7 linked regions of the Macaca fascicularis genome follow. The main gene of each other region encodes a partner of the protein of the gene in region 4 in a complex. Links are inferred from orthologs where the notes say so. Each region holds a gene or a part of one and is shown on either strand. Other genes may lie near its edges. The genes, in order: TXNL4A, LSM7, LSM2, PRPF6, PPIH, LSM6 and LSM8.

Region 1 (4,120 bases), on a different chromosome or scaffold from region 4:
TAATTTTTTGTATTTTTAGTAGAGACGGGGTTTCACCATGTTGGTCAGACTGGTCTTAAACTCCCAACCACAGGCGATCCACCGGCCTCGGCTTCCCAAAGTGCCGGGATTACAGGCCTGAGCCACCGCGCCCCGGCATGATTTGTTGTCAATTTGTCATCCAAAGGACCACAAGGATGGCTGGATAGCAGACAAGAGTTTTACTGTCAATGTCAGTTTGCAAACCAGGGGGAGTCTCTAACATGAACCCAAAGTGCTCTCTCAGAAGAACAGAGATTAGAGGTTTTATTTTAAAAAGAGAAATATTATTTCTCTTGGAGAAAGTTCATAGGCACCAGTAAGGGTCTGGGGAGCTCTGACTGGGGAGCGAAGCCGGGGGAGCCAGATCAGTCCTGGAGGTGCAAGTTATGCTGAAGCTATGCAATAAAACTGGCTTCAGGTCGGGCGCGGTGGCTTCCTCCAGTAATTTCAGCGCTTTGGGAGGCCGAAGCGGGCGGATCACTTGAGGTCAGGGGTTCGAAACCAGCCTGGCCAACATGGTTAAACCCCGTCTCTACTAAGTACAAAAAAACTAGCCGGGCTGGCGCCTGTAGTCCCAGCTTACGGGGAGGCTGAGGCAGGAGAAGCGCTTGAACCCGGGAGGCGGGGGCTGCAGTGGGCCGAGATCACGCCACTGCACTCCAGCCTGCGCGACAGAACGAGACAACGTCTCAAAAAAAATTTTTTTTCTTTATAAAAAGACAAAAACTCTGGTTTCGGGTTACAACAGGCAGCTCAGCAGCCGGCCTGACGGTGACATTCCTCAAGGACGGCCTGCCCAGTGCTTCCCCCCACCCCGCTGCTCGGCTCTGCCGTGGCTGGGTATGGCAACAACGACACATTTTTATGGTCAAGTTTCACAAATGACACACACGAACCGTCTCGCTAACACACAGCACAAACGATGACCCGAAACAGACACCGGAAAGGAAAAAAACGAGCCGCAGTGCCGGGCATGCCGGGCCTTTCTGAAGACGTCCCCATCCGTGGCTGGAGGACAGCCCGGGCGGCGGCGGGCGGCCTCGGGGCGGGTGCGTCGGGGCAGGGCACGGCGAGCCCGGGGCTTCTCAGGACCACCAGGCCGCCTGGACGCTGGGGAGGAACCCCCACTCCGACGCCGGCTAGGAGGGCACCAACCGCGCTCCACCGTGGCCAGGTCGCCGCCGCTCCCGCCGGCCAACGACAAGTTAGCGCGGCGTCTGTACGCGCGTGACGTCAGCACGCACGGCGCCAGCCCGTGCGCATGACGTCAGCACGCACGGCGTCGGTGCGTGCGCGCCCAGAGGTTCCGCCCGGCGGCAGTGCCAGCGGAGCTTGCGGGTGCGGGTGGGACCGGGTTTCGGCTGTGGGCCCGGGGGCGGCGGGGGCCGCGGAGTGAGGGGCCGGCTGAGCCCACCACCTCGCTGGGCCCTCCCTGGCGCCCGGCCTCGGGCGGCGGCGAGCGCGCGGGTCGCCATGTCGTACATGCTCCCGCACCTGCACAACGGCTGGCAGGTGGACCAGGCCATTCTCTCCGAGGAGGACCGCGTGGTCGTCATCCGCTTCGGCCACGACTGGGACCCCACCTGCATGAAGATGGACGAGGTCCTATACAGCATCGCCGAGAAGGTAGCGCGCCGGGCCCTCCCGCCCTGCTGGCTGTGCTTCCGCAGCGGCCCCGCGCCTCTGCCCCGCCGGCCTCGCCTGGGGGCGCGAGCCGTTCCCCGAGGAGGGGCCGCGGCGCGGTCGTCCGGGCGATTCCTTCCCGCGCTGCGGGCGAGCGCTCTCGGGGACTGTGCCGGCGTTTCGCGCCTTTTTCTGCAGGGAGGTCCTGTAGTTGTTCACGTTTTAAAGGGTTTATGATCCCCCTCCCCTCGAAGGAATTCATTATTTCTGTTGGTAAGGCGTTTTTCCCAATCTTACAGTGCAGTGAACAAAGTAACACTTGCAGATTTTGAGAGCGCAGATCCTTAATTTAAAAGGATGCCCTTTTTTGGTGCCTTGTTTGTTTGTTGTATGTGTAAAGCAGAACTTTCATGTTAATAGCATAAGAAATCCTGTTTTTCTGTTGTTGTTTTCTCCCACCGCGCTTTTTGTAAGTCATGTGATTTATAGCTTAGAGTGATTAAGATGCAGAAAACATCGGGAGAAAATAGAACTATGCTTTGTTGGAACTAGTTTTCTGAATTTCTAATATTAGTACATTGAGTGGCCTTGGCACTTACTTGCTGACAATAAAAGTTGTGGGACACTATTTTATAACCAGGTTTCATTCTTTTTCTGTGGTTCCTCACAGCAATTTTAGGATGGCGTTTATTTAGGTTTTGCAGCTGTAGCAATAGGGCAAAGGGCACAAATACTAGGGTGTTAATAAAATATTTGCCATATTAATTTTCCGTAAGTAATTTGAGCGGTTATTCATTTTGATGAAGAGTAAAAGTAACATTGAAGCTATCTTTTCTTTCACAGATGCTAAAGTAGGCTGGGTTAAAATAACTCCTTTGAGTAAAGAGTAACAGATATAAAGACATTTTATATTGAGGAAAGGAAAGACTGTCTGGCCTGCCATTTATTAATTCTTGCTATTTCTTATTTAGTAGGAGAGGCGTGATGTTAGGAACTGTTGTTATATTTTAGTTATTACAAGAATCTCTTGGAGTGCTTACTAAAATGCATCTGTGATTCTGAGTCTATGGGTGTGGGGTGAAGTCCAGCAATGGCTTTTTAAAGAAGCCCCTCAGGGAATTCTGATGTGACCTGACCTTGAACCACACACTCAGAAACCCTTCCATGGGGGTCAGGGACAGAGGCGGAGTGCTTTATTACCAGCCATCTCCCAGCCTCTTCCTCTTGGACAGCAGGACACTGAGGACTTGAGGAGCTGCCTAGGGAATCAGGAGAGCAGCAGTTCTCTCACACTGGGGCTTCTGCCAGCCAGGGATTAGAGATGATGAGTGAGGCAGTGCCAGCACATCAGCTTTTCATTGCTTGACTTGTAGTGGACAAGGGCAGATACTGGAAATCCAGCGAAGAATTGACGAAGAGCAGTTTCCCAATAAGTAAATCACTGCTTGTAAATCACTGACTTTGAGTTACGAGTTCTAGAATCTTTCACTGTTCTACCTTGCAGATGGTGGCATAAACATCAGCTGGTGTTCAGATCCTGCTGCCGGCAGCTCGAGGCTAGGATGGCTGGCGATGTGAGGGCCTTTGTCTCATCACATCCAGGCAGAGCTCAGCAAGATGCTCTTAGCTAGGAAACAGATTTTATGTGTTAATGTAAGTGTTAGGGTCTTTGCCAGATTTGCTCTTTTTTTCCAATTCCTTTATGTCCGATTTCTTTGTTATTACAGAATGAATCACTGTATCACTAGTGGACACACACTTAAGGACAGTTGAAATGGGCTCACTTTGGGGTATTTTTTTTTTTTTTTTGGTCTTTTAAAATAGTTTGATTTTTGTTTCTGTCCAAAAATTTGGATTGCTTTATTAATAAACTTTTAATGCAAATATTATAGTATAATTATTAAAAGCGCAAACCTAGGCCAGGCACGGTGGTTCATATCTGTAATCCCAGCACTTTGGTTGGGAGGCTAGTGTAGGCAGATCACTTGAGCCCAGGAATTCGAGACCAGCCTGGACAATATGGTGAAACCCGTTCTCTACTAAAAGTACAAATGCCAGACGTGGTGGCACATGCCTGTAGTCCCAGCTACTTGGGAGGCTGAGGTGGGAGAATCACCTGAGCCCGGGAAGTCAAGGCTGCAGTGAGCCATGATTATACCACTGAACTCCAGCCTGGGCAACAGGAGTGAGACCCTGTCTCCAAAAATAAGTGCAAACCTGAAATGCATTAAAAGACTATTCGTGTTTTATTTTCTTCTTAGTATATGGGCAAAATATGACTTTCTAATTCTGGAAGCTCTTTTGGGGAAACTCAACAGAAATTTTTGAAATGTAAGATTTTAGTATAAAGAACAATATAACTATTTAAAAATTTCCCTGTGCAGAAATGGCAGATAATGGAGAATCTTCCTTATCTTGTTATGAGTCCTGTCGATGTCCCAGCTGTTTTAAAGTGAGTAACAGTTGCAGATGTTCG
Region 2 (4,244 bases), on a different chromosome or scaffold from region 4:
AAATGTCTGGGGTCTCTAGGTCCCTGGCCTCAGAATAGGGGGAGTCCAGGGGGCTGACAGGGCAGCTGGGGGTGGAGGTGCGGTTCGCAGAAAGCTTCTGAGGGGGCCCTCCAGCCTTGCAGAGACCACGGGCATTTCAGGGTAAGAGAAAAGACTAGACAACGAAGCTCCTGCAATGAGCTGCAGGCTTCCCTGGCGCCAGGTCACAACTGGACGGCACGTTCATCCAGATGCGACATGGACTGACATACTTTGAAAGGGTCACTCCTGCTGTGTCGAGGATGGACTAGGGATGTGGGGGACAAAGGCAGCCACAGCAGGGGGATGGCGGTGGGGCTGGAAGAGTGGAGACTAAGAAGGAGCCCAGTGGCAGCGACGCCTTAAGAGAACTCTGAGAGAGGAGTGAAGGTTAAGGGCCGCATTTGTGAGGCTGCTCCGGGTTCCATTCCCTGAGCCACCAAACTCAGGTAAGAGGTAAGATTTGGAATTAAGAAAATAAAAGATGCAGTTACGACAGTGCCATCTCGTAGACTGTCCCCGCTAGAACCTGACACTCTACATCAAAGGATACACAATGAATATAAGGAAGGCGTGCTGTCCCTAGGCGCTGGTCACCCTGGGTAGCATCTCCAGAATCCACACCATAGTCGACCCCCCTTCTCCAGACGAGCAACTGACGCTCAAAGCAGGGAATTCCCTCGTCCAAGGTCACGGAGTAAAAGATGGAGCGGGAATACGACCCCAGTGCAGGGCTGGGCTCTTGGCCGCTCCAGGATGCTGGCCAGTCACTGGGGGACACGCGGGACGCCTCTGGGTTCCCCCACCGCACCCCCTAGGGTGAGGTTAGCTTAGCACCGGGCCATTCCGCCTAAAGGGAAACTGAGGCTCGGAGCGGGGTGGGCGGCCGCCTGCCCAAGGCCACAGAGCGGGAGAGAGGCGTCCCCCGCGGCGGCTGGAGACCCCGAAACGGACAAGCAGAACAGGGAGATGGAGGGGGCACAAACTTCAGGCCCGGTGGGAAGTGAGGGGCGCTGCAGCGGCGGAGGGCCTCCGAGGCGGGGAAGGGAGAGAAGCCGGGGACAGCCCCGCAAGGTCACGGCCGGGCCCCGGCACCGCCGGCCGACAACGAGGGGACCGCGGATCCCCGAGGCTGGACCCCCAAGACGGGCCAAGAGGGGTCGTTCCTGCGCGTAGCCTCGGGGCCGAGAGGCCGAAGGGCCGCAGCCTGCGGTGCCGTCGGGACCGGTGCCGCGCTCACCTGGGCCGCGAGGAGCAGAAAGGCCGCCACAAGCCGCGCCAGCGCAGCCGCCGCCACCGCCGCCATCTCGGCCGGTGCCCGCCGCAACCGTCGGCAGATGTTTCCCAGCAACGCCCCGAGACCCCGGGCCACGCATGCGCCGCGCATGCGCGTGGGGGGGAGGGGAGAGGTCACAGGGCACGGGGCGGTGTCTGCGAAGAGCCTCACGGCGCGACAAGATGGCGGTGAGCGCGCGGCAGAATCCGGAGCCGGGGGGCGTGGGGCTCGGGCCGCGCTCCAGGCCTCATGCGCTCTGCTTTCCCCGCAGGATAAGGAGAAGAAGAAAAAGGAGAGCATCTTGGACTTGTCCAAGTACATCGACAAGACGATCCGGGTGAAGTTTCAGGGAGGACGCGAAGGTGAGGCGGCTCCCGCCGTTGGCACCCCCCCTTTAAAATTTTAAAATAAAGTCAGCAACAGAGGTGATGAGGATGCATGCAGAGGCGCCTCTTTTATTTATTTTTATTTATGTATTTATTTTGAGACGCAGTCTCGCTCCGTCGCCCAGTCTGGAGTGCAAGTGGTGCGATCTCAGCTCACTGCAACCTCCGCCTCCCGGGTTCAAGCGATTCTCCTGCCTCAGCCTCCTGCGTGGCTGGGGCTACAGGCGCCACCACTCCTGGCTAATTTTTGTATTTCTAGTAGAGACGGGGTTTCACCATGTTGGCCAGGCTGGTCTCAAGCTTCTGACCTCAAGTGATTCGCCCGTCTCGGCCTCCCAAAGTGCTGGGATGACAGGCGTGAGCCGCCGCAGAGGCGCCTCTTTACACGCTTGACGCCGACTACCTTGTGCAGGCTTCCGAATTACGCCGGGAGGTAGGAACTGGTATGGCCATGTTGCAGGCGGGGAAACTGGGGCAAGGAGCGGGAAACAAACGTAATCCAAAGTCACAGTGGCGCAGCCGGTATTGGGATTTCCGGCTTGGCCTCCAGAGCAGTCCTGTGTGTCCAAGGACTGCCCCAGATCCCCACAGATCTCCCGGCTTCTCCTCTTCCTCCCTCTAAGTCAAGGTCTTTCCCGCACAGCAGTGTGGACACATTTGGGGCCGGATTCTCTGGAGTGGGGCCGTCCTGGGGCACTGCAGGGTGCTGAGCAGCATCCCTGGCCTCCACCAAGTTGTGACAACCTAAATAGCCTCAGACATTGCTTAGTGTTCTCTGGGGATAGGATCGCCCCCCGACCCCCAAGCTGTGATTGGGAATCACAGCTACTAAGGTCAGTCTCCACTCAGCGGCCAGAGGCACCTAATGAAAAAGAAATGGAGGCTTCTTGCTCCCTGCTGAAAACCTCTGAGGCTCCCGGTTGTTTTGGAGTAAAATCCGAATCCATACTTCTGATTATGACTGCAAAGGGCGGCAGAAGCACAAGTTCCACAGGTGCTTGCTCTGGGAAGCCCTCCCTGACCCTGGCGTCAGGCCCCCCATCGTTCTAGGATCCTGGTAGCACCTGTCACCGTTTGCGGTTTCGTGCATGTTAACCTGATGCTTGCCTCTGCCTGCAACTCTTCCATGGAATCTAGTGAAGACAGGGCGAGCTCTCAGAGGGCAGGAAGCATTCGCATGGGCAGTGGGCTGGTGATGCATGCTGCAGCTCTTGGCGGGACGCAGGGACTCACGCCTGTAACCCCAGCACTTTGGGAGGCTGAGGCAGGCGGATCATATGATCAGGAGATCGAGACCAGCCTGACCAACATGGGGTTTCGTGAAACCCCATCTCTACGAAAAATACAAAAAAATTAGCTGGGCGTGGTGGTGCACACCTGTAATCCCAACAACTCAGGAGGCTGAGGCAGGAGAATCTCTTGAACCCAGGAGGCAGAGGTTGCAGTGAGCTGAGATCGCGCCACTGCACTCCAGTCTGGGAGACAGAGCGAGACTCCGTCTAAAAATAAATAAATCACACACACGCACACACACAGCAGAGAAAGGGTTTGCTCCCTGAAGGACTCACCTGATATGGTCAGGCTCACCCAGGGTGTTTCCCTCTAGATTGGCTCAAAGTCAGCTGGTTCAGGGGCTTAAACAGCTGCATAACCTAAGTGCAGGAGTGACGTCATGTCCCCTCAGAGTCACAGGCCCGAGCCCACACCCCGGGGAGGGGAACCTTGGTTAGAGACCTACCTACCTCAGTGCTCACATCTGTCCCTGTGAGGAGGGCTGGCTCACTGGTCAGGCTGGTGCCAAGGACCTGAACCGTTGCGTCTGACCCCATCTCATAGGTGACAGGTTTCATTTTGCAGGGGAGGGACTTGAGCGCAGAGAGAGGGAGCCGTGGAGGTAGGAGCTAAAGCCTGTATGCAGGTGGGCAGACCTTCTCTGTAGAAGGCCAGACAGCAAATATCTTCAGCTTTGCAGCCCAGATGGTCTCTTGTCACAACCAGTGAGCTATGCCCGCAGAGCAGGAGAGCCGCCCTGGTCAGTGCCTGAGCGGGCGAGTGTGCTGGTGGGCCAGTGAAACTTTGGCATACAGAGATGAGCGGTGGGCCACTTTCGCCTCTGGTCGTAGTTCGCAGCGCAGAACGGCCATGGACAGGCTCACAGCCCTGCCTTGGGAGAAGATAGGCGGGCAGAATAATGCCTGGGGTGCCTGCTTCCTGAGATTGGTGGGGGGCATGCAGAGGGCAGCACCCTAAGGGGTGTGGGTTGGTGTCTGGAGGAAGCACCTGAAAGATGACAGGGGTAAGAAGGAGGGTAGGGAGCGGGTGGCTGAGGGACGCCCCTCAGTGAGCGCAGAGGCGGAACCGCTCCTGGGCCTGGGCTGGAGGAGCCTGGGGGGAGAGGACGGGAGTCCCGGACAGGGAGGGTGGGCTGGCCTCTGCTGAGGACACACAGCTCCCCCTTCATCCTTCTCAGTGTCACCAGACACTGCGGAGCAGGATCAGATGGCAGAGGTCACCACCGGGTCAGAGAGCCCTAACCCAAGGTGCCAAGTTGTGACCTAAGGCGG
Region 3 (4,265 bases), on a different chromosome or scaffold from region 4:
CTGCTGGGGAGGCTGAGGCAGGAGAATGGCATGAACCCGGGAGGCAGAGCTTACAGTGAGCAGAGATCACACCACTGCATTCCAGCCTGGGCGACAGAGCGAGACTATCTCAAAAAAAAAAAAAGAAAAAAGAAAAAGAAAAAAGCTGGACATAATCATATTTCTGTTCTGTATCACTTACTAGTTTTGTAGACTTGAACAAGTGGTATAGCTGATCTAAGCCTCAGTTTCCTCATATGTATAACAGCAATAGTACATATTACTAAGGAGTGTTTGAGAAATCAATCAATAAATGTATTCAGAATAGTGCTTAGTCAATAGGTCTTCAGATATTATTTTTCTTTCCTTAAGCACCTATCATACAACTGGCCTATACTAGGTATTAGATACACAGTAGCATATCTAATACGTAGGTTTCACCATGTTGGCCAGGCTGGTCTCAATCTCTTGACCTTGTGATCCACCCACCTCAGCCTCCCAAAGTGCTGGGATTACAGGCATGAGCCACCATGCCCAGCCTATGGCCTGTTCTGTTTTTTTGTTTATTTTTTTGAGATGGAGTCTCGCTCTGGTCGCCCAGGCTGGAGTGCAGTGGTGCCATCTTGGCTCACTGCAAGCTCCACCTCCTGGGTTCATGCCATTCTCCTGCCTCAGCCTCCCAAGTAGCTGGAACTACAGGCGCCCGCCACCACACCAGGCTAATTTTTTGTATTTTTAGTAGAGACGGGGTTTCACCATGTTAGGCAGGATGGTCTCAATCTCCTGACCTCGTGATCCGCCCATCTCGGCCTCCGAAAGTGCTGGGATTACAGGCGTGAGCCACTGCGCCTGGCCTGGCCTGTTCTTTTTTGAGACAGTCTTCCTCTGTCACCCAGGCTGGAGTAAAGTGGTACAATCATGGCTCACTGCAGCCTCGACCTCCTGGGTTCAAGTGATCCTCCCACCTCAGTCTCCCGAATAGCTGGGACTACAGGCATGTAAACCACATCTGGCTAATCTTTTATAGAAATGGTTCTATGTTGCCCAGGCTAGTCTCGACATCCTGGACTCAAGTGATCCTCCTGCCTCAGCCTCCCAAAGTGCTGAGATTACAGGTGTGAGCCACCATGGCCAGCCTAGTACTTACTCTTTATTTATTTTTTTTGAGACAGAGTCTCACTCTGTCACCCAGGCTGGAGTGCAGTGGCGTAATCTCAGCTCACTGCAACCTCTGCCACCCAGGTTCAAGCGATTTTCCTGCCTCAGCCTCCCAAGTAGCTGGGATTACAGGCACCTGCCACCATGCCTGGCTAATTTTTGTATTTTTAGTAGAGACGGGGTTTCACCATCTTGGCCAGACTGGTCTTGAACTCCTGACCTCGTGATTCACCCACCTCGGCCTCCCAAAGTGCTGGGATTACAGGCATGAGCCACACGTCCAGCCCATGAGCCACCACACCTGACCAGTATTTACTCTTTAAACTGTATATTGCTTTGTATTGTTTTCCAATACACAATACAATCCCCAAGCTTATCTGTAAATTTAAGGCACAAGGCATTTATTTATTGTTAAATTTTAAAATTTGTCTTAGAGATGGGGTCTTGCTCTATTGCCCTGGCTAGAGTGCAATGGAGTAATCACTGCTCACTGCAGCCTCAAACTCCTGGGCTCAAGCAATCCTCCCTCCTCAGTCTCCCAAAGTGCTGGGATTACAGGCGTGAGCCACTGCACCCCACCCATTTATTTCTTTTGTTTGTTTGAGACAGAGCCTCGCTCTGTCACCCAGGCTGGAGTGCAGTGGCGTGATCTGGGCTCACTGCAAGCTCTGCCTCCCAGGTTCACGCCATTCTCCTGCCTCAGCCTCCAAAGTAGCTGGGACTACAGGCGCCTGCCACCATGCCTGGCTAATTTTTTGTATTTTTAGTAGAGACAGGGTTTCACCGTGTTAGCCAGGATGGTCTTGATCTCCTGACCTCGTGATCCGCCCACCTCAGCCTCCCAAAGTGCTGAGATTACAGGCGTGAGCCACCGCACCCGGCCATTTATTTCTTCTGTACATATTCCACCTCACCCAGCCCTCAAATATTTCTCAAATTAAAGAGGTTCCAGGGCCCTGGGCACACCCACCCCCAACAGACTTGTTGGAACAGGTACCTACCTCAGGTCATTCTTGAGTTCCACGACCACATCCTTGCCCACAAGGGACTTGAAAAAAGAATAGAAGAGCTATTGGGAGAGAGGGGGAAAACCATCATGTGGGAAGGAACATGGTAGGGAGGAGTGTCCCTTGACAGTATTACCAAATACCGGTATTGTGAACCCCATTGCATCCCTAACAGTTCTCAAAATTTCACAGGAAAGAATAATTGGTTGAGAGGTGAAAGGCTGGAGCCCAAATTATTCTGCACACTGCATTGAGCCCATCACTTAAAGTCCCAGAGAGGCTCTGCCCTGCATACCTCGGCCTCCCCAGTGTGCTCTCTCAATCGACCACCTTTCTCGGGTACCTGCCCACTCCTTTCAATGAATTACAGAAAACATCCCACCCGCACCCTGCCGAAGCTTGCCTGGCAGAGAAGTGCTCTAAGGTCTAACTTTTCCGTCTCCCGCTGTCCCCACTGAATCTCTCTCAGGGTTGGGGTTTTTTTCCTCATCATGGAAAAAAAAATCCCATTTGCTCTCAGGTGTCTCCTCAACGAACTTGAGGAACAGGACTAACGATGAAGATAAAAACTCCGGACCTAACTCCAGCCTAGGGGGACAAAGGCCAGACCCCCCTGCCCCAACCGTCCGAGATCCCCGAGGGCGACCCCTTTTGACGTCACGGTACCCACCATGGTGCTGGCGCAGCGGGCAGCGGGCCGGAGCGAGAAAAGAGCCGGATGCTGAGACCAGGTCTGGGAGAACCGAAGCGCGAGCCCGCGCGTGGGGCGAGGCGGGACCGCGCAGGCGCAGCGGGAAGGGACGCAGAACCCTCCAAGCGCTGAAGGGTAAAGCGCGGCCGACTTGCGGCTGGGGAGCGCAAGCTGGGTAAAACCGAGGGGAGGAGGAAGCCGGGAAAGGGGCGGGGTTTCCTTCGTTCCGACTTCTTCCAGGGCCGGCCGGCTCCCATTGCGCAGGCGCGGACCCTAGCCTGGGCTGCTAGGCGGGTGGAGGCACTCGGCGTCTGAGCTCAAAAGGTTTTGTTTTCCATAACCCTGCCGTCCACAGCGTGATGTGTTCGTGCCCTCTACACACATCCTATCGAGAATTGTGGGGAGTTTGTGAAGATTATGAAGTGTGCACTTTTCTATATTTGTTAAAGTAAAAACATAAAATTCAAAAAATAAAATTAAAAAATGTTTTTAATCTTAAATTCAGCTGATAAAAAAAAAAAAGGCCGAGGGCGGTGGCTCACGCCTTCAATCCCAGCACTCTGAGAGGCCAAGGTGGATGGATTGTGTGAGGTCAGGAGTTCGAGACCAGGCTAGCCAACATGGTGAAGTCCCGTCTTCACTAAAAATACAAAAAAAATTAGCCAGGCGTGGTCGCGGGCGCCTGTAATCCCAGCTACTCGGGAGGCTGAGGAAGGAGAATTGCGTGAACCCGGGAGGTGGAGGTTGCAGGGAGCCAAGATGATGCCACTGCACTGCAGCCTGGGCGACAGAGCGAGACTCGTCTCAAAAAAAAAAAAAAAATTGGCCGGGCGCGGTGGCTCACGCCTGTAATCCCAGCACTTTGGGAGGCCGAGACGGGCGGATCACGAGGTCAGGAGATCGAGACCATCCTGGCTAACACGGTGAAACCCCGTCTCTACTAAAAAATACAAAAAAATAGCCGGGCGAGGTGGCGGGTGCCTGTAGTCCCAGCTACTCGGGAGGCTGAGGCAGGAGAATGGCGTGAACCCGGGAGGCGGAGCTTGCAGTGAGCTGAGATCCCGCCACCGCACTCCAGCCTGGGTGACAGAGAGAGACTCCGTCTTTAAAAAAAAAAAAAAAAAAAAAAATTGACCGGGCGCAGTGGCTGACGCCTATAATCCCGCACTTTGGGAGGCCAAGGCAAATGGATCACCTGAGGTCAGGAGTTCTAGACCAGCCTGGCCAACATGGCGAAATCCTGTCTCTACTAAAAACCCAAAAATTAGCCAGGTGTGGTGGCACGCGCCTGTAAACCCGGGAGGTATAAGTTGCAGTGAGTGGAGATCGTGCCATTGTACTCCAGCCTGGGCAACAACAGTGAAACTCTTGTCTCAAAACAACAACAACAACAAAATGTTGAGGCTTGTAAATCCCAGCATTTTGGGAGG
Region 4 (3,500 bases):
CTGTCCCACTGTCTGTAGTTTCAATACCAAAAGAAAGAGATTTGTTCTAAGGAGTTTACTCCCATAGGGGGCCCACAATCATGCAGCCTCCCAGGAAATGCCTCAGCGCAGCTCACCTTGGGGCACATCTCTGTCCCCTTCATGATAAGGTTCCGAGCTACTTGTAGCTTCCCAGTGACTTCTTCCAGGCGGGCTGACGCAATCCAGGCTGGCGGGTGATGAGGGTTCGTCTCCCGAACAGACTTGAGGAGCAGTCGTGCCTTCTTGATATCACTACAAGAGGGAGAGTGCACACAGCATCAGGCCATGCTGTCAGGGGTGCACCCGAGACCTAGAAGGAAGGCACCCACCTCCCAGTCGCAATGTAAGAACCATCAGTCCTGATGTCCCGAGTTACACAAAACAACTCAGAACGTCAGTGTGCGCTCCTCCAAGCCTGTTCAGCCTCCCTGAGACAAACGCTGAGAACCGAGGTCCAGATGGGGCACGTGGGACACAGCCAGCTGCTTTCCTGCTCAGCACAGGCAGCGACTTGCGGTATCACATGTAACACGTTCAGTGTATGCAATGACTGGATACAGACACATTTCAAATGGAAAAACCAAACTACTCCACTTTATATTTCTTAGAACAACGTCACATTTTGACTGCATATTGCCCATATAAAATCCAAAATATCCTAGGTAACTGGAGTCTCCATCCCAGCCCAGCGGTTCTGCGAAGCACTCACTTGATGTCCCCTCCGTGTGTCGGGATCATGGAATTTAAATCCGTCAGGTAGCCTTTGGGGTCAACGACGGTCTGTCCACTCACGGAGTCAGACACCTGTGAGACAGGCCAGGCTGAGTCAGCTGGATGTGACCAGGTGCAAAACGAAGATCTCAGAGGGTCCCTGGAGCCCCTCCCACAATCCTCGGTGAGTAGTCAGGAGAAGAAAGAAAACAACCTTCATCGCACTCAGACAACACCTTGTGATAATAACAAATTTCTTCTGTATGGAAAAAAATCTATATTTTTATTTATTTTTTTGCGACAAGGTCTCACTCTGTCACCCAAGTAGGAGTGCAGTGGCAATCATAGCTCACTACAGCCTCCAGTTCCAGGGCTCAAGGAATCCCCCTGCCTCAGCCTCCAAAGACTCTGTCTCTACAAAAAAACATAATTTTTGGCCAGGTGTGGTGGCTCACACCTGTAATCTCAGCACTTTGGGAGGCCGAGGCGGGTGGATCACAAGGTCAGGAGTTTGAGACCAGCCTGGCCAGGATGGTGAAACCCCGTCTCTACTAAAAATACAAAAATTAGCCAGACGTAGTGGCACACGCCTATAGTTCCAGCTACTTGGGAAGCTGAGGCAGGAGAATCATTTGAACCTGGGAGGTGGAGGTTGCAGTGAGCCAAGACCGTGACATTGAACTCCAGCCTGGGGACAGAGTGAGACTGTGTCTCAAAAACAAAAACAAAAACATGCTGACACACGCTGCACCAAGGATGAACCTTAAGGACATGAGCTAAGTGAAATAAGCCCGTCACAATAAGGTAAATACTGTAAGACTGCAGTCATATGAGGTCCAGAGAGTAGCGAAATTTACAGAAACAGAAAGAATGGTGGATGCCAGGGGCCAGGGAGAAAGGGCATGGGGACTTAGTGTTTAACGGGTACAGAGTTTCAATCTGGGAAGATGAAACAGTTCTGGAGATGAATGGTGATGAGGTTGTATAACAACATGAACATAATTATGTCAATGAAGGTATGTACAGTTAAGAAAGATTAAAATGGTAAATTCAGTGTTACATATATTTTACCACAAAAAAATTACTGTGACAGTTTTATTTATTTTGAGAGTCTCACTCTGTAATCCAGGTTGGTGTGCAGTGGCACGATCATAGCCCACTGCAGCCTCAAACTCCCTGGCTCAAGCAATCCTCCCACCTCAGCCTCCAAATAGCTGGGACTACAGGCACGCACCACCAGGCCCAGCTATTTCTTTTAGTTTTTGTAGAGACGGAGTCTCACCATCACCATGTTGCTCAGGCTGGTCTTGAACTCCTGAGTTCGAGCAATCCTCCTGCCTCGGTCTCTCAAAGTGCTAGGTGGAAGGATCGCCTCAGCCCAGGGAGGTCGAGGCTGTATGTAGTGAGTCGTGATTGCACCCCCCTTTTTATTTTTATTTTTTTTGAGACAGTCTCACTCTGTTGCCCAGGCTGGAGTGCACTGGTGCAATCTCAGCTCACTGCAACTTCCAGCATCCGGGTTCAAGCGATTCTCCTGCCTCAGCCTCCCGAGTAACTGGGATTACAGGCACCCGCCACCACACTTGGCCAATTTCTGTATTTTTAGTAGAGACAGGGTTTCACCATGTTGGCCAGGCCAAAAGTAGTATGTATGTTCCTTCACGGTTTCTGATGTGCATATCAGAAAGATATGTACTTCACTGGTGTCTAGAGCACCCAATCTCCAGATCAAAGTACACGTTCCATGCAGGGCCACAAGACAATTTACTGAGGGGCAGGAAGAAAACACATTTCTAAAAAAATCATTATTTTATATTTTTTAAAAAGCCCAGGTGCAGTGGCTCACACCTATAATCCCAGCATTCTGGGAGGCCGAGGCAGACAGATTACCTGAGGTCAGGAGTTTGAGAACAACCTGGCCAACATGGTGAAACCCTGTCTCTACAAAAAATACAAAAATTAGCCGGGTATGGTGGTGTGCACCTGTAATCCCAGCTACTCAGGAGGCTGAGGTAGGAGAATCGCTTGAACCCGGGAGGTGGAGGTTGCAGCGAGCCAAGATCATGCCATTGCACTCCAGCCTCTGGGTGACAGAGCAAGACTGTCTCAAAATTAAAAAAATTTTTAAAATCTGCAGAATTATTCAGGCAAAAATCAAGCCAAAAAAAAAAAAGAAGAAGGAGAAGAAGAAAACAAAACAAAATGAAAATATCTAAACCTGTCTACAGGAAAATGCTGCGTGACAAACTCACCTGGCTCAGCCTCATGTCCATCAGAGTGTTCCTGGCTTGGCCAATCTTCCTCATGTCCAGCTCACCGGTGCCAGGTGTCATCAATCCTGGTGTCATTCCACCTGGGTATGGAGTGTTTAGTCCACCTGGATAGGGTGTGTTAAGACCTCCAAATTGCTGGAGGAGAAGAGAGGAAAGGGAAGAATAAAACAACAGTTTGCATTTTATTTTTTTTGAGGCGGAGTCTCGCTCTGTTGCCCAGGCTGGAGTGCAGTGGCGCGATCTCGGCTCACTGCAAGCTCCGCCTCCCAGGTTCACGCCATTCTCCTGCCTCAGCCTCCGGAGTAGCGGGACTACATGCGCCTGCCACCACGCCCGGCTAATTTTTTGTATTTTTTAGCAGAGACGGGGTTTCACCGTGTTAGCCAGGATGGTCTCGATCTCCTGACCTCGTGATCCGCCCGCCTCGGCCTCCCAAAGTGCTGGGATTACAGGCGTGAGCCACCGCGCCCGGCCAACAGTTTGCATTTCATGCCA
Region 5 (4,137 bases), on a different chromosome or scaffold from region 4:
TTTTTATATGTAATTCTTGCTTCCTCCGACGACAGAGCTAGAAAAGATGATCAAAGGACCTAGGAAATAATAACTATTATATTAAATGCATGCTGTTATAGCTAATGAGTCTTGCCCAAGTTCCCCTTCTTTCACTAAATTCATTGAATCTATTATATTTACCTACTATGTGCTATTCAGTAGGAGACATTGCAGCTACAGCTGCGAACAGGACTGAGAGAGTCTCTACTTTCATGGAGTTTATATGCTATTAGGGAGGAAGATGTATGTGTGTGTGGCAGGAAATGAGGTGCAGACACATACCATACAAATGTGAAATGGGGGGTGGCATGAAGAAAACAAACCAGTGATCTGAGTGACCAAGGGCTACTTTAGATTAGGTCTAATGTTGCCTCTGAGGAGGTAACATCTGGGGTGAGCCTTGAACTACAAGGAGCATTACTTCCCACACACATAGCCCAACCAAACCCCACCATCACCCCGCCAACCCACATTAAGATCTGGAAGGAATATTTCAGACAGAAGAAACAGCTATTACAAGGCCTTAAAGAAAGGAGGGATCTCAGTGACCTGGAGGAGCAGACAGGTCAGAGCACAGTAACTAAGGGCAAGTGGTACAAGATGAGGTCAGGTAGGTAATAGCCAGATTAATGCACTGGAGGGCTTCCTATGTACAGAATTGGATTTTATTCTAAATATAGGAAGCCAGGAGTTATTTTAAAAATAAATAGGAATCACAAGAGGTATTTTAAAAATAAAAAATAAAAAACTCTAGTTACTCTGTGGGAAACGAATTGGAAATGACCAAACTGGGAGCTTGTGGCAGAACGGAAACCTAATCTATTGTCCTGACTTAGAGGAAGGGACAAATATTTACTTAGCAAGCCTTTACGTGCCAAGCTGTTCTAAACGCTGAGGATGAACAAACCAGAGTTCCTGCCTTCACGGTGTTCACAGACTAGCGGGCAGAAGACAGACACAGCACGTGTGGCGGTGTAGAGGGCTTGGTTCCAAGAGCCGATAAGGAGGACCCTGGCGACTGCCTAGTCCAAAAGCCCTAGCTAGAGCAAGATCAACTTGTACTGCCCTTAGTACAGCCACGTGAGTGGGGTGACCATCGACCTTAACCAAAAAGATGTCAAGGCTTTCCTCCTCCTCACTCCCGCGTCCCCCGTCTCAGGGAGAGTCTCCCAGCTAGACCCCAGCAGCCTCAGCACACACGGCACGGGGCGACAGCTTCCGGGGGCGGGGCCCGGTCTCTCTCTGCGTCCACCGCGCCTGCTCCCCGGACGAAACCCGCGGACAGGGCTTTAGGTTCGCCGGAATCCCATGCTCCCGACTTCTGCTTCCGGGTCGGAGCCATGGCGGTGGCAAATTCAAGTCCTGTTAACCCCGTGGTGTTCTTTGATGTCAGCATTGGCGGTCAGGTGAGATCCAGGACGCTACCCACACCTGCGCCGAAGGGAAACTGCTCGGGGCTAGCTAGGCAGGCAGAACTCACTCAGAGAGAGCGGACTCGGGAAGCCAGCCAGAAAGCGAAATTGCACCCGAACCTACCGACCTGCAGGGCGGGGAGAAATGAGGAGAAGTCTCCCCAATCCTAGCGCCCCGCTTCTGGAGGAACTGGGTGGTTAGACCAGAGAGGCGGAGGTGGGTGATACCGAGCGGCAGGGTGGTGGGTCAGCCCATCCTGCCCCCAGCTCCGTGAAGCCCTCATGGTCTTGGACTGGGCCTTCTGACAGTCTCCCGCTGATTGCAGGAAGTTGGCCGCATGAAGATCGAGCTCTTTGCAGACGTTGTGCCTAAGACGGCCGAGAACTTTAGGTAAGGACGTGCTCCAGTTCCGCTGGATTAGCTAAGGCAGAAGTCGGGCTCTAGTCAGCCGCCTGAATAGCCTGTCTACCTCTGTCCGTCCGCTCACTGCTCTTGAGACCTGATTCCTCCGTGCTTTGCTCTGTCTGGTTGCCGTTTGGATTGTTCCCGTGTTAATTTACGTTGTTAGTCTGTACGTCTCCGTGTTTGGACGTCTGGCTGGCGGATTGGTGGACTTGCTGGCTCCATTGTTTATTCTTTCCCGTCTTTAGAGGCGGTCACGACTGTGATGTCATAGTGATTGAATTGTTCACTTTTTGTCCCTTTCAGGCAGTTCTGCACCGGAGAATTCAGGTCAGTTTCAGATGTGTTTGACTTCTTTGCCTGCTCCAGAAGGGTGTTCTGGGGCTGCGGTGAGGGTATCGGTGAACCAGCTGCTGGCCTTGAATGATTGCTGGTGACAGTGATAGAAGGTAATGCCCCAAGGGTCTGTCCCTAGTTTATTTGCCTTCTTTATGTCTGTCAACCATCTTTAGGAGAGTCCTTTTGGCTCCAGTGCATGGTAAACTGGAAAGGCCTTGTGCTACCTGCTATCACTCCAAGTCTCTTTCTTTTTGTTATAGAAAAGATGGGGTTCCAATAGGATACAAAGGAAGCACCTTCCACAGGTAAGGCTTTTGGCAAGCCATCCTAGAGTCTTTCAGAAATATTTCCTGGGGGATTAGGCTCTTTAGAGGAAAATAAAACCAGAGGTAATTCTTACATTTCTTGAGAAGAAATGTTTTTGTGGACTCAATAACTGAAGATTTATTAAATATTCTAACTCTACTTATACTCTCCCACTTCTTATGTCTTTAAAACAGAAACTACTCATCTTTACAATATCCTGTCTTTTTCATGCACTTGTTTGTGCAAATGCAGATTTTTAAAGAAGTACACTTGTAATCCTAAAGTGCATATAATATATCCTGCTGGTTGCTATTTATAACTAATTCCTAAAATGATCATATATGATTGTCCAAGGATAATCATATTTCCTGGGGAGTGGAGTATGGCAACACTTAGTCTCATTTCAATATAGAATCTTTCTCATGGCCTCACTGTGGTTAGTAACAATGTTAGCACATAATTATATCACAGCTTTAGAACTGTGGGTCTCTAATCCCCAGTAAGACTCCTGTGAAGTGGTATGTGTGATCTGCATTCTACAGAGGAGGAAACTGAGGATAACAAAGGTTAAGGACCCTCCCTAGGGGTAATAGCTAACAATTGTTAAGCCCTTACATGTGTAGCAGTACCTTTCACATAAATTCTCTGTAGTTCTTTCCCCCAAATTTACATCAAATCCTTGATCTGCCTTTTGCTTTGGCAAGTAATGTGGTCATTCTTCCTGCAGGCTTTCAGCCCCTTCTTCTTGTTACTGTTCAGGTACCAGATCATGCACTTGATCAACTCTAACATGCCCTAATTTATAACTAAAATCCTTTTTTATGGTTAATTATCCTTTCAGCTTAATCATTCCAGGAAAAGAATAATCTTCTTTTTTTGTTGTTTTGGTTTTTGGTTTTTGGTTTTTTTTTGAGACAGAGTCCCGCTCTGTCACCCAGGCTAGAGTGCAGTGGCATGATCTTGGCTCACTGCAACCTCCGCCTTCTGGGTTCAAGCAATTCTTTTGCCTCAGCCTCCCAAGTAGCCGGGAATACAGGCATGTGCCACCACGACTGGCTAATTTTTGTATTTTTAGTAGAGATGGGGTTTTGCCATGTTGGCCAGGCTGGTCTCAAACTCCTGGCCTCATGTGATCTGCCTGCCTCGGCCTCCCAAACTGCTGGGATTACAGGCGTGAGTCACCGCACCCAGCTAAGAATGGTGATTTTATAATAGCCAAAGTTATAGTGTATTTTGAAATCAATGTTAATCTAATACAATAATAACAAAGTCTCCATAAAATCTTCTCTCAGTATTCTTTGCTCTCTGTTTCAGGGTCATAAAGGATTTCATGATTCAGGGTGGAGATTTTGTTAATGTAAGTACTATTCCTTTTCTATCAAAGACCTGTAGTTTTAGTTTTTATTATTGTTGCAATTGCTGTTTTTACTACAGAGACCCAGTCTTAAGGCTTGAGAACAATAGCCAGGTTTGATGGGGGTGTTGGAGAGAATGGTGATGGGGAAGTTCTTGAAAGTGGCTAGGTACAACTGACTGTAGATAACAGACTTTAGCACTTTGATTGAGGCATTAACTTCCATGGTCCAAATCTCAGCCTTTTTGAGCCAGAAATTGGACTTTTTAAGAATACCCTGTAGATGATCTATGATAGGTTCA
Region 6 (2,556 bases), on a different chromosome or scaffold from region 4:
ATCTGCACAGAAAGCATCTGAATGTTTAATAGAGAAGGGACAAATAGGACAAACTGCCAAATTATGCAAATTAAAGACAGCAGGGAAATGGTGCCCATTCTTACAGCTGCAACTTCCAGGCTACAAGAAGCAGGAATATGTGTTGGGGAGATAATAATACACTATATTCAAGAGAGCAGGGTTCCGGGTCAGGAGAACAATGCCCCCAGTTCCTCATCACTAAAGGAAGGGAAGGAGGGAATTTTAGTTTAAAAATTCCATGATGTATCTAAAAAAATAACTGGTCAAACTGACATATAAGCATTTTAAAATAATCAAGCCTAAAACTGGACTTTTAAATTATCTAGTAAACTCTTTGGTGATCTGGATTATAAACAGAAAGGCTTATTTTGAATGAATGCTGTACTGTAGGGTGAAGAAATGTTACCATTGTTTCCTCGGATAAATGCATCCCCATACTTATTCTTCAGTTGTCCATTTACATATTCTTCTGTCTGCTCCAGGGCTATATTCATGTAGCCATCCAAGCAAGCCAGGACCCCTGTAGACATATTTAGTCAAAAAGAAGAAATACAAGGCAAGTAGGAGTTGAAAATTACAGGGTATACCTTAGAGCAGACAATCTCTTTATTCATTAGCTCTTAGATGCTTAATAAAAAAATTCATACCCTAAATGAAACTCAACAGCTTAAGCACAAAACAACTCTAGGCCAATCTGAATGAAGACTAGGAAGGCAGTCACGCACCCACTACTACCCAGTAAAACAACAAACTGTCACTTCCCTCACGGTATGTATGACCACATAGCAACTTTTAAAGCATTCAAAAAAGTAAGAGAATAAGACTAATCCAACAAAAATACCATTCTGTGAAAGCTAAGCACAAGGTGGGCAATTATGCATGAACAAATGATCCTTGGTTCCAGTGGCATTTCCTACTTCAGCCACTAAGTGAAATACGGGTCTGGCAGATTTATTTCATCCTTTTACAACATCTATTGCAGCAGATGAATGTACTCCAGGGTTAAAAGGAAGTCTCCACAATCTGTTAAAATAATAGAAGAGGAGACAGCAGGTGCTCCCGAAAGAACATCTTAAAGCTGTGACTCACAGTGAAGAGCAGCTTGAGAATATAGGGCAACATATTGCATTATAACACATCTTGTTCTGTTTTGTTACAGCTATAATATTTTCCAATCAAAACTAATAGAGAAAATGGCCAAAAACATTTGAGGGAGCTTTCAAGGAAACAGTTTGAGTGAATCTTTAATTGTGTTAAGATGGTATAAATTTTGTAAAATTTGACCTAATGATCTTTTTCAAAAGATGAAAATCTGCAAGCCTCTAACTCTGTCTCTAATTTCAAGTGGTATTTTCTAGAAAAAAAAATTTAAGTAAAAACAAATACTAGATTCAATTAGTCGAGTCTATAAGTTTCTCATTTGATGTCTTAACTTCATTAATATGCTCCTCACTCTCTGCCTCTGCCCCCATTATCCTCTAAACAAAAAAGTTTCCTTTCAAAATTGTGTGTGTAATGACAGCATAAGACATTAATCTACCAGAATTCTGCTAAAAGCGGTAAACTCTCAAAGAACCAGAATGGACTGTGAATAATAAAATTATTTCCTAGCCAAAGAAAGCTTAAGCTATAACTTTAGCTCATTTCCTGCTGTATTATTTTACATATAAGCCACAATTATAAATGAGCAAGAAACTTCTGAGGCACAATATGCAAACCTGTTCGAAAACTAATGAAAAGAATTTCAAAATGAAATGTCCAGGCTGGGCACAGTGGCTCACGCCTGTAATCCCAGTACTTTGGGACACAGAGGCAGGCAGATCACTTGAGGTCAGGAGTTCAAGATCAGCCTGGCTAACATGGCGAAACCCCGTCTCTACTAAAAATACAAACATTAGTCGGGCGTGGTGGCGGGTGCCTGTAACACTAGCCACTCGGGAGGCTGAGGCAGAAGAATCATTTGAACTTGGGAGGCAGAGGCTGCAGTGAGCCAAGACTGAGCCACTGTACTCCAGCCTGGGTGACAGAGTGAGACTTGGTCTCAAAAAAAAAAAGAAAAAAAAAAAGTTCACTTCTAATTAAAGTATCTGTTCTCACAGCAAAGGCAAAAAACAAAAAACAAAACAAAAAACAAACAAACAAAAAAAACTGCCCAGGGGGTTAGAAATATAACCGTTTCCTTCTCCATGAGATAACCTCCTATACATAACCAAAACAAGACATTTTCTTACACAGAAACTGCTACAGAGAGTTGGAGGTTTTTCTTGTATGTTGTGTTTTGTTTTGGGTTTTTTTTTTTTTTGGTGTTTTGTAAACCACAAAATAAGCACGTTCTTTTAGTAAGGCTATCTAATAGTATAGAACATTTTGTTTTAATCGTATAAAGGCCACAAACAGACATTCATAAGAGGAAAAAAAATTATGGTTACTATCCATGTGAAAGACTGCTGAATCTCACTAGTAAACAAATAAAATATATGTAGAATGAGATATTACTTGTTGCCGATTAGACTGGAAAAGATGAAAAAAAGCTAA
Region 7 (4,077 bases), on a different chromosome or scaffold from region 4:
GGTTTTGATTCAACTCCTAACATTTGCAAATCACACAATTATCTTTGTTCTTTCATTTGTGGAAGACACTTTCATTTGTTACCCTGAGAATATGAGACATTCACAATCTAATTCCTGACTACATTTGATTTCAAACAGATCGGAATAACTTCCAGAATATAAAATTTTAACTATTTGGGAGTCATCTTGTAGGTATCTTGTGGGTATGCTCTAATTAAGAAATGCTTCCTTTTCCCAGGAAAACTGCTGACATTGCAAGAGTTATTCCAAAGCCACAATTCTTAAGAAAATACATGTTTAACCTAAATCATAAAGATATTTTGTAAAAAAGGGAAATCGCTCCTGCTGATGTTTTGTGTATAAATCTCTTTCTAACTTCAAGCTCTCTCAAGTTAGGGCAACACAGTAAATAAAGTGGGAACAGTATCACATTGGGAAATATCTGAAATGATACCTATGGCACTATAAGGAAACTGAGGCCCAGAAGAATTGAAGTGACCTGTGCAATGACACCAATACGTTAGCAGAGCCAAGATTAGAACCAAGTTTGGTGCCTTCCTGCATCAGTCCTTTCTTGGTGCTGAAGGAGCCTTTTATTTATTAATTTCACCCTGGAGAATTCCGGCAGACCATCCCGGCGTGGTAGAAGCGTGAACATTCGTTTTCTAAGGGATGGTCACACACCTTTTTCTATTTGCATTTAGTTTCTTTAAAAAGTAAAAACACCTCCATTTTGGACCACTTTTAGAGACAAAAGCAGAACATACGAACGTGCATTTCATTGTTGAGTTCTTAAGACGCTTACACCGTGTGGTTATAACGTGCGCAACTTTGTCCCGGCCAACTGGACTTATTTTTAGTGTTATTTTCGGCTCCTGCTGCAGAAAACTAGGGATTCAACTACCCGCACCCGCATTTCACACAACAGCGCTCGTCTACTCTCCTCCTTCACTCCTAATAAAAAACGCCTTATCCTGTTTCTTCCTGCCTGCTCTACCTCAACATTTTCACTTATTATCTTCCACCACACTGGGTTTTACTCGGATTGGAAACCCACTCTCCCCCAACTTCTCTCTCGTACCCCACCTTCGGGAAGCGTCCTCCTTTTTTCCGCCTCTCGTTCCCTTTGTCTTACACGGCTTCCGGAACACGGCCCAGAATTACAGCGAAAACACACTGCGCACGCGCACTCTCTCGTCAGAGCGGCGCTGCTTCTGTTTGGTTGGCTAGTTCGTCCCAATTTCCGAGTCAAAGGGCTGCGGAGCAGCAACTCTCACGATATTTGCGGCGGCCCGCAGACGCGAACCGCTGCCGAGTTCTGGCGCGCCCTTTCAGTTCTGCTTGTGGCCGGCACCACTGCGTTATCCGGAACTGCCGGTCCGAGCAGCATGACGTCCGCCTTGGAGAACTACATCAACCGTATCCTCAAGCTGGCCGCCGCGGGCGTGAGCCGGGGCCGCGGAGAGACCGCCGCTCGGGGATCGGTGGGAAGTTGGGAGGCCCGGCCGCGGCGGGATCCTGGGGGCGGGCGAGATGAGGACCCCGGAATGACCCAGAGTTCGGCGGCGGCGCCTAGAGCCTGCCAGCTGCTGCGGGCCCAGGGGTCCTTTCCATTTTGTCTACAAAAGCCAAATAAAAACCCAGTGTGATTTTTCCGAACTTTTCTGTCTTAAAAAAAATTACGCTCTTGATTCTTCCTTACTATTTCCCTAGGGCATAAGTGTTCAAGTTTGTAAATAAGATTAACAGTCGTCCTGGCTGCGACAACAGTTTTGCAAATCTGTGTACTTGTTTTATTCACATAATATGCTCATTAGTTCGAGGATAGCAGAAAGTTTAACGATGGTTCACAGACTGTTTCTGTCCCTTTACCACTTGAAGACCCTACCTGGTGGTGGAATGAAAAAAATGCTTGCTGTTGTAATGGATTATAGTGAGGAGCAAGTAACAACCCCACGGGAAGTCTTAAAATAGACTTTACAAGTGTTACCGTTTTAAAGTCTCAGAACAAAAACACTATGTTAAGTTCAGGTACAAACTGGGTGACAAAAATTAAATACCGAATGCTTTTAATGTTACAGGCATTGTTAGTACCTTGTGACACTGATTATATAGTTTATTTACTTTTGAATTACAGAAGCCTGCCCCGGAAGACAGTTTTTTAACATGCTTGAAAATCGTCCAACATCGATGAATTTAGTACTCATCCAGTTTTCATTTTAGATATAAACAGGCCCAAGAAACGAAATATCCTGTCCGAAATAATAGATTGGCAGCATTCCTAGTAGAAAAGTGTCAAAAATCCAGGATATTTTGAGATAGGATACACCGATCACATACAGAAAGAGGTTTTCTTTTCTATTTTTTCCTTTTTTTAGTCATGTAATTATCACAAAACTAAAACAAGCTTTTAAAAAATTTTTTTTCTTTCTTTTTTTGAGTCGAGGGTCTCACTGTGTTGCCCAGGCTGGAGTGCAGTGGCTTGATCATGGCTCAATGCAACCTTGAACTCCTGAGCTCAAGCTATCCTCCTGCCTCTGCCTCTGTCTCCTGAGTAGCTGGGACTATAGGTCACCAGGCCAGGGTAGTAGAGATGGGGGGGGTCTCACTGTGTTTCCCAAGCTAGTCTCACCTCAAGTGATCCTCCTGCCTTGGCGTCCCAAAATCTTTCAACGTTTTTATGTAGTGAACTTAGTGGCTGTGTTGAACACTTTTACCTAATTGTCATATTTGTTCTAATAATTTAAATCATTACCTTGCCAGAGTCTGTTTTCAATTTGCATTCCCTAAGAAACACTTTCCTTTATTCAGTTATCAGGAACTGTTGCCGTTATTACATCTGATGGGAGGATGATTGTGGTAAGTCTTCGGAATTTTCATTCTCTGCTTTCCTGTAGGTTTATTGGTTGCAAGTTTTATGTGAAACCTCTGATCTCTAATGCCTAGACAGCACATTACACCTGTAGTGCAGTTTTATTATAATTCAGCTCTTTATCACTTTGCTGTCAATCCACGTTTTCCTCACTCATAAACGTGGCGTGTTACCTACAAGGCTTCTAGGAGCTAGAGTTATAGATTCTGCCCTCAGAGAGCTCCTAGTCTGCAGACCTTCATTAAACTTACTTTTCTTCTTCCATTTTTATTTCCTTCCTCATTCGGCACCACATGAATCAGAATTTTTTGAAATTTTGCATATGCTTAGTAACTTTTTAATGATTTAGATACTATTAATATCTACATATCAACATTTAAGGCTTGTATACAATCTTAACATTCTTTGTTTTTAGGTTGTGTGACATGTCTTCTGTAGGACACATTATGATGATTGACTCTCTCTATATACACATATTTACGTAAAATTGGCTTGTTCCTTGAAGTTGTTTCTCCCTTGCTAATTTATGTCATATAACAAAGATAAAACGTTCCTATGGTGATACTTGTATTTGGAATTTGATCTGAGGAATTCATCTCAAGATTTTTGGGCACTTGATTATTTCTTCACTTATAATTCCTACTCCAAATGCTTTCAAAAGAATTTTAAGGCTACTAAACTTTTCTAACCCTACCTAGTTTCTTTAAATAATTTGATCCCTTATTTTTCCATTCTGCAGTTTTGCTTTCGTTTGTTCTTAGTGACTATTGTTAGTCAAAGTTCTAGCTTTGCCATTTACTAAATTTATATCGTGTGCCAGGTGCATATGTGTTACATTAATTAATGTACATACAACCTTGTGAAGAATAAGTACCCCTGTATTCTAGATTAGGAAACAAGTTCAGAGAAGGTGACTCACTTTCTCAGAGTCACAAGGGTAGCAGGTGACAGAACCAAACTGGGATTTAAATTTGGTTTGACATCAAAGCCAAGGCCAGTTGCCTGGCTTCTTTCTTAAGGAAGCAATCATGTTTTCTTAGGCACCTCACATTGTATTTTTTCAAATGTGGACAGTTTGACATATTTTAACCTCAACACTTCAAGAAGCCTATTGCTATTAATAGATGTTTGCATTATTTTTTATTTAGTGAAAACCTTACGTTTAAATTTTCTTATTTTTGTTAACAGGATAATAAACTGGGAAA

The links.
Region 1: PRPF6 (region 4) and TXNL4A share a complex: the UniProt entries of both Homo sapiens proteins name them as parts of the U4/U6-U5 tri-snRNP complex. The link is inferred for Macaca fascicularis from reciprocal best matches to the Homo sapiens genes PRPF6 and TXNL4A.
Region 2: PRPF6 (region 4) and LSM7 share a complex: the UniProt entries of both Homo sapiens proteins name them as parts of the U4/U6-U5 tri-snRNP complex. The link is inferred for Macaca fascicularis from reciprocal best matches to the Homo sapiens genes PRPF6 and LSM7.
Region 3: PRPF6 (region 4) and LSM2 share a complex: the UniProt entries of both Homo sapiens proteins name them as parts of the U4/U6-U5 tri-snRNP complex. The link is inferred for Macaca fascicularis from reciprocal best matches to the Homo sapiens genes PRPF6 and LSM2.
Region 5: PRPF6 (region 4) and PPIH share a complex: the UniProt entries of both Homo sapiens proteins name them as parts of the U4/U6-U5 tri-snRNP complex. The link is inferred for Macaca fascicularis from reciprocal best matches to the Homo sapiens genes PRPF6 and PPIH.
Region 6: PRPF6 (region 4) and LSM6 share a complex: the UniProt entries of both Homo sapiens proteins name them as parts of the U4/U6-U5 tri-snRNP complex. The link is inferred for Macaca fascicularis from reciprocal best matches to the Homo sapiens genes PRPF6 and LSM6.
Region 7: PRPF6 (region 4) and LSM8 share a complex: the UniProt entries of both Homo sapiens proteins name them as parts of the U4/U6-U5 tri-snRNP complex. The link is inferred for Macaca fascicularis from reciprocal best matches to the Homo sapiens genes PRPF6 and LSM8.

Annotation. Positions count from the first base shown.
Region 1 is NC_088392.1:1,012,524-1,016,643, forward strand, and holds the start of TXNL4A (thioredoxin-like protein 4A), read left to right. Parts: upstream 1-1,320; 5' UTR 1,321-1,494; coding exon 1,495-1,647; exon of another isoform or gene 1,648-1,917; intron 1,918-3,224; exon of another isoform or gene 3,225-3,261; coding exon of another isoform or gene 3,262-3,297; intron 3,298-4,028; exon of another isoform or gene 4,029-4,030; coding exon of another isoform or gene 4,031-4,096; intron 4,097-4,120. UniProt on the Homo sapiens protein: Plays a role in pre-mRNA splicing as component of the U5 snRNP and U4/U6-U5 tri-snRNP complexes that are involved in spliceosome assembly, and as component of the precatalytic spliceosome (spliceosome B complex).
Region 2 is NC_088393.1:2,988,140-2,992,383, reverse strand, and holds the start of LSM7 (U6 snRNA-associated Sm-like protein LSm7), read left to right. Parts: upstream 1-1,444; 5' UTR 1,445-1,476; coding exon 1,477-1,482; intron 1,483-1,565; coding exon 1,566-1,656; intron 1,657-4,244. Other genes in the region: SPPL2B (signal peptide peptidase-like 2B), read right to left, coding at 1,259-1,324. UniProt on the Homo sapiens protein: Plays a role in pre-mRNA splicing as component of the U4/U6-U5 tri-snRNP complex that is involved in spliceosome assembly, and as component of the precatalytic spliceosome (spliceosome B complex).
Region 3 is NC_088378.1:139,906,118-139,910,382, reverse strand, and holds the start of LSM2 (U6 snRNA-associated Sm-like protein LSm2), read right to left. Parts: upstream 2,801-4,265; 5' UTR 2,638-2,800; coding exon 2,548-2,637; intron 2,207-2,547; coding exon 2,139-2,206; intron 1-2,138. UniProt on the Homo sapiens protein: Plays a role in pre-mRNA splicing as component of the U4/U6-U5 tri-snRNP complex that is involved in spliceosome assembly, and as component of the precatalytic spliceosome (spliceosome B complex).
Region 4 is NC_088384.1:120,135,527-120,139,026, reverse strand, and holds part of PRPF6 (pre-mRNA-processing factor 6), read right to left. Parts: intron 3,141-3,500; coding exon 2,985-3,140; intron 826-2,984; coding exon 731-825; intron 274-730; coding exon 117-273; intron 1-116. UniProt on the Homo sapiens protein: Involved in pre-mRNA splicing as component of the U4/U6-U5 tri-snRNP complex, one of the building blocks of the spliceosome.
Region 5 is NC_088375.1:192,210,766-192,214,902, reverse strand, and holds the start of PPIH (peptidyl-prolyl cis-trans isomerase H), read left to right. Parts: upstream 1-1,337; 5' UTR 1,338-1,361; coding exon 1,362-1,427; intron 1,428-1,759; coding exon 1,760-1,824; intron 1,825-2,142; coding exon 2,143-2,166; intron 2,167-2,435; coding exon 2,436-2,480; intron 2,481-3,795; coding exon 3,796-3,838; intron 3,839-4,137. UniProt on the Homo sapiens protein: PPIase that catalyzes the cis-trans isomerization of proline imidic peptide bonds in oligopeptides and may therefore assist protein folding. Participates in pre-mRNA splicing.
Region 6 is NC_088379.1:151,041,508-151,044,063, reverse strand, and holds part of LSM6 (U6 snRNA-associated Sm-like protein LSm6), read right to left. Parts: intron 542-2,556; coding exon 428-541; intron 1-427. UniProt on the Homo sapiens protein: Plays a role in pre-mRNA splicing as component of the U4/U6-U5 tri-snRNP complex that is involved in spliceosome assembly, and as component of the precatalytic spliceosome (spliceosome B complex).
Region 7 is NC_088377.1:159,620,838-159,624,914, forward strand, and holds the start of LSM8 (LSM8 homolog, U6 small nuclear RNA associated), read left to right. Parts: upstream 1-1,277; 5' UTR 1,278-1,388; coding exon 1,389-1,419; intron 1,420-2,818; coding exon 2,819-2,859; intron 2,860-4,077. UniProt on the Homo sapiens protein: Plays a role in pre-mRNA splicing as component of the U4/U6-U5 tri-snRNP complex that is involved in spliceosome assembly, and as component of the precatalytic spliceosome (spliceosome B complex).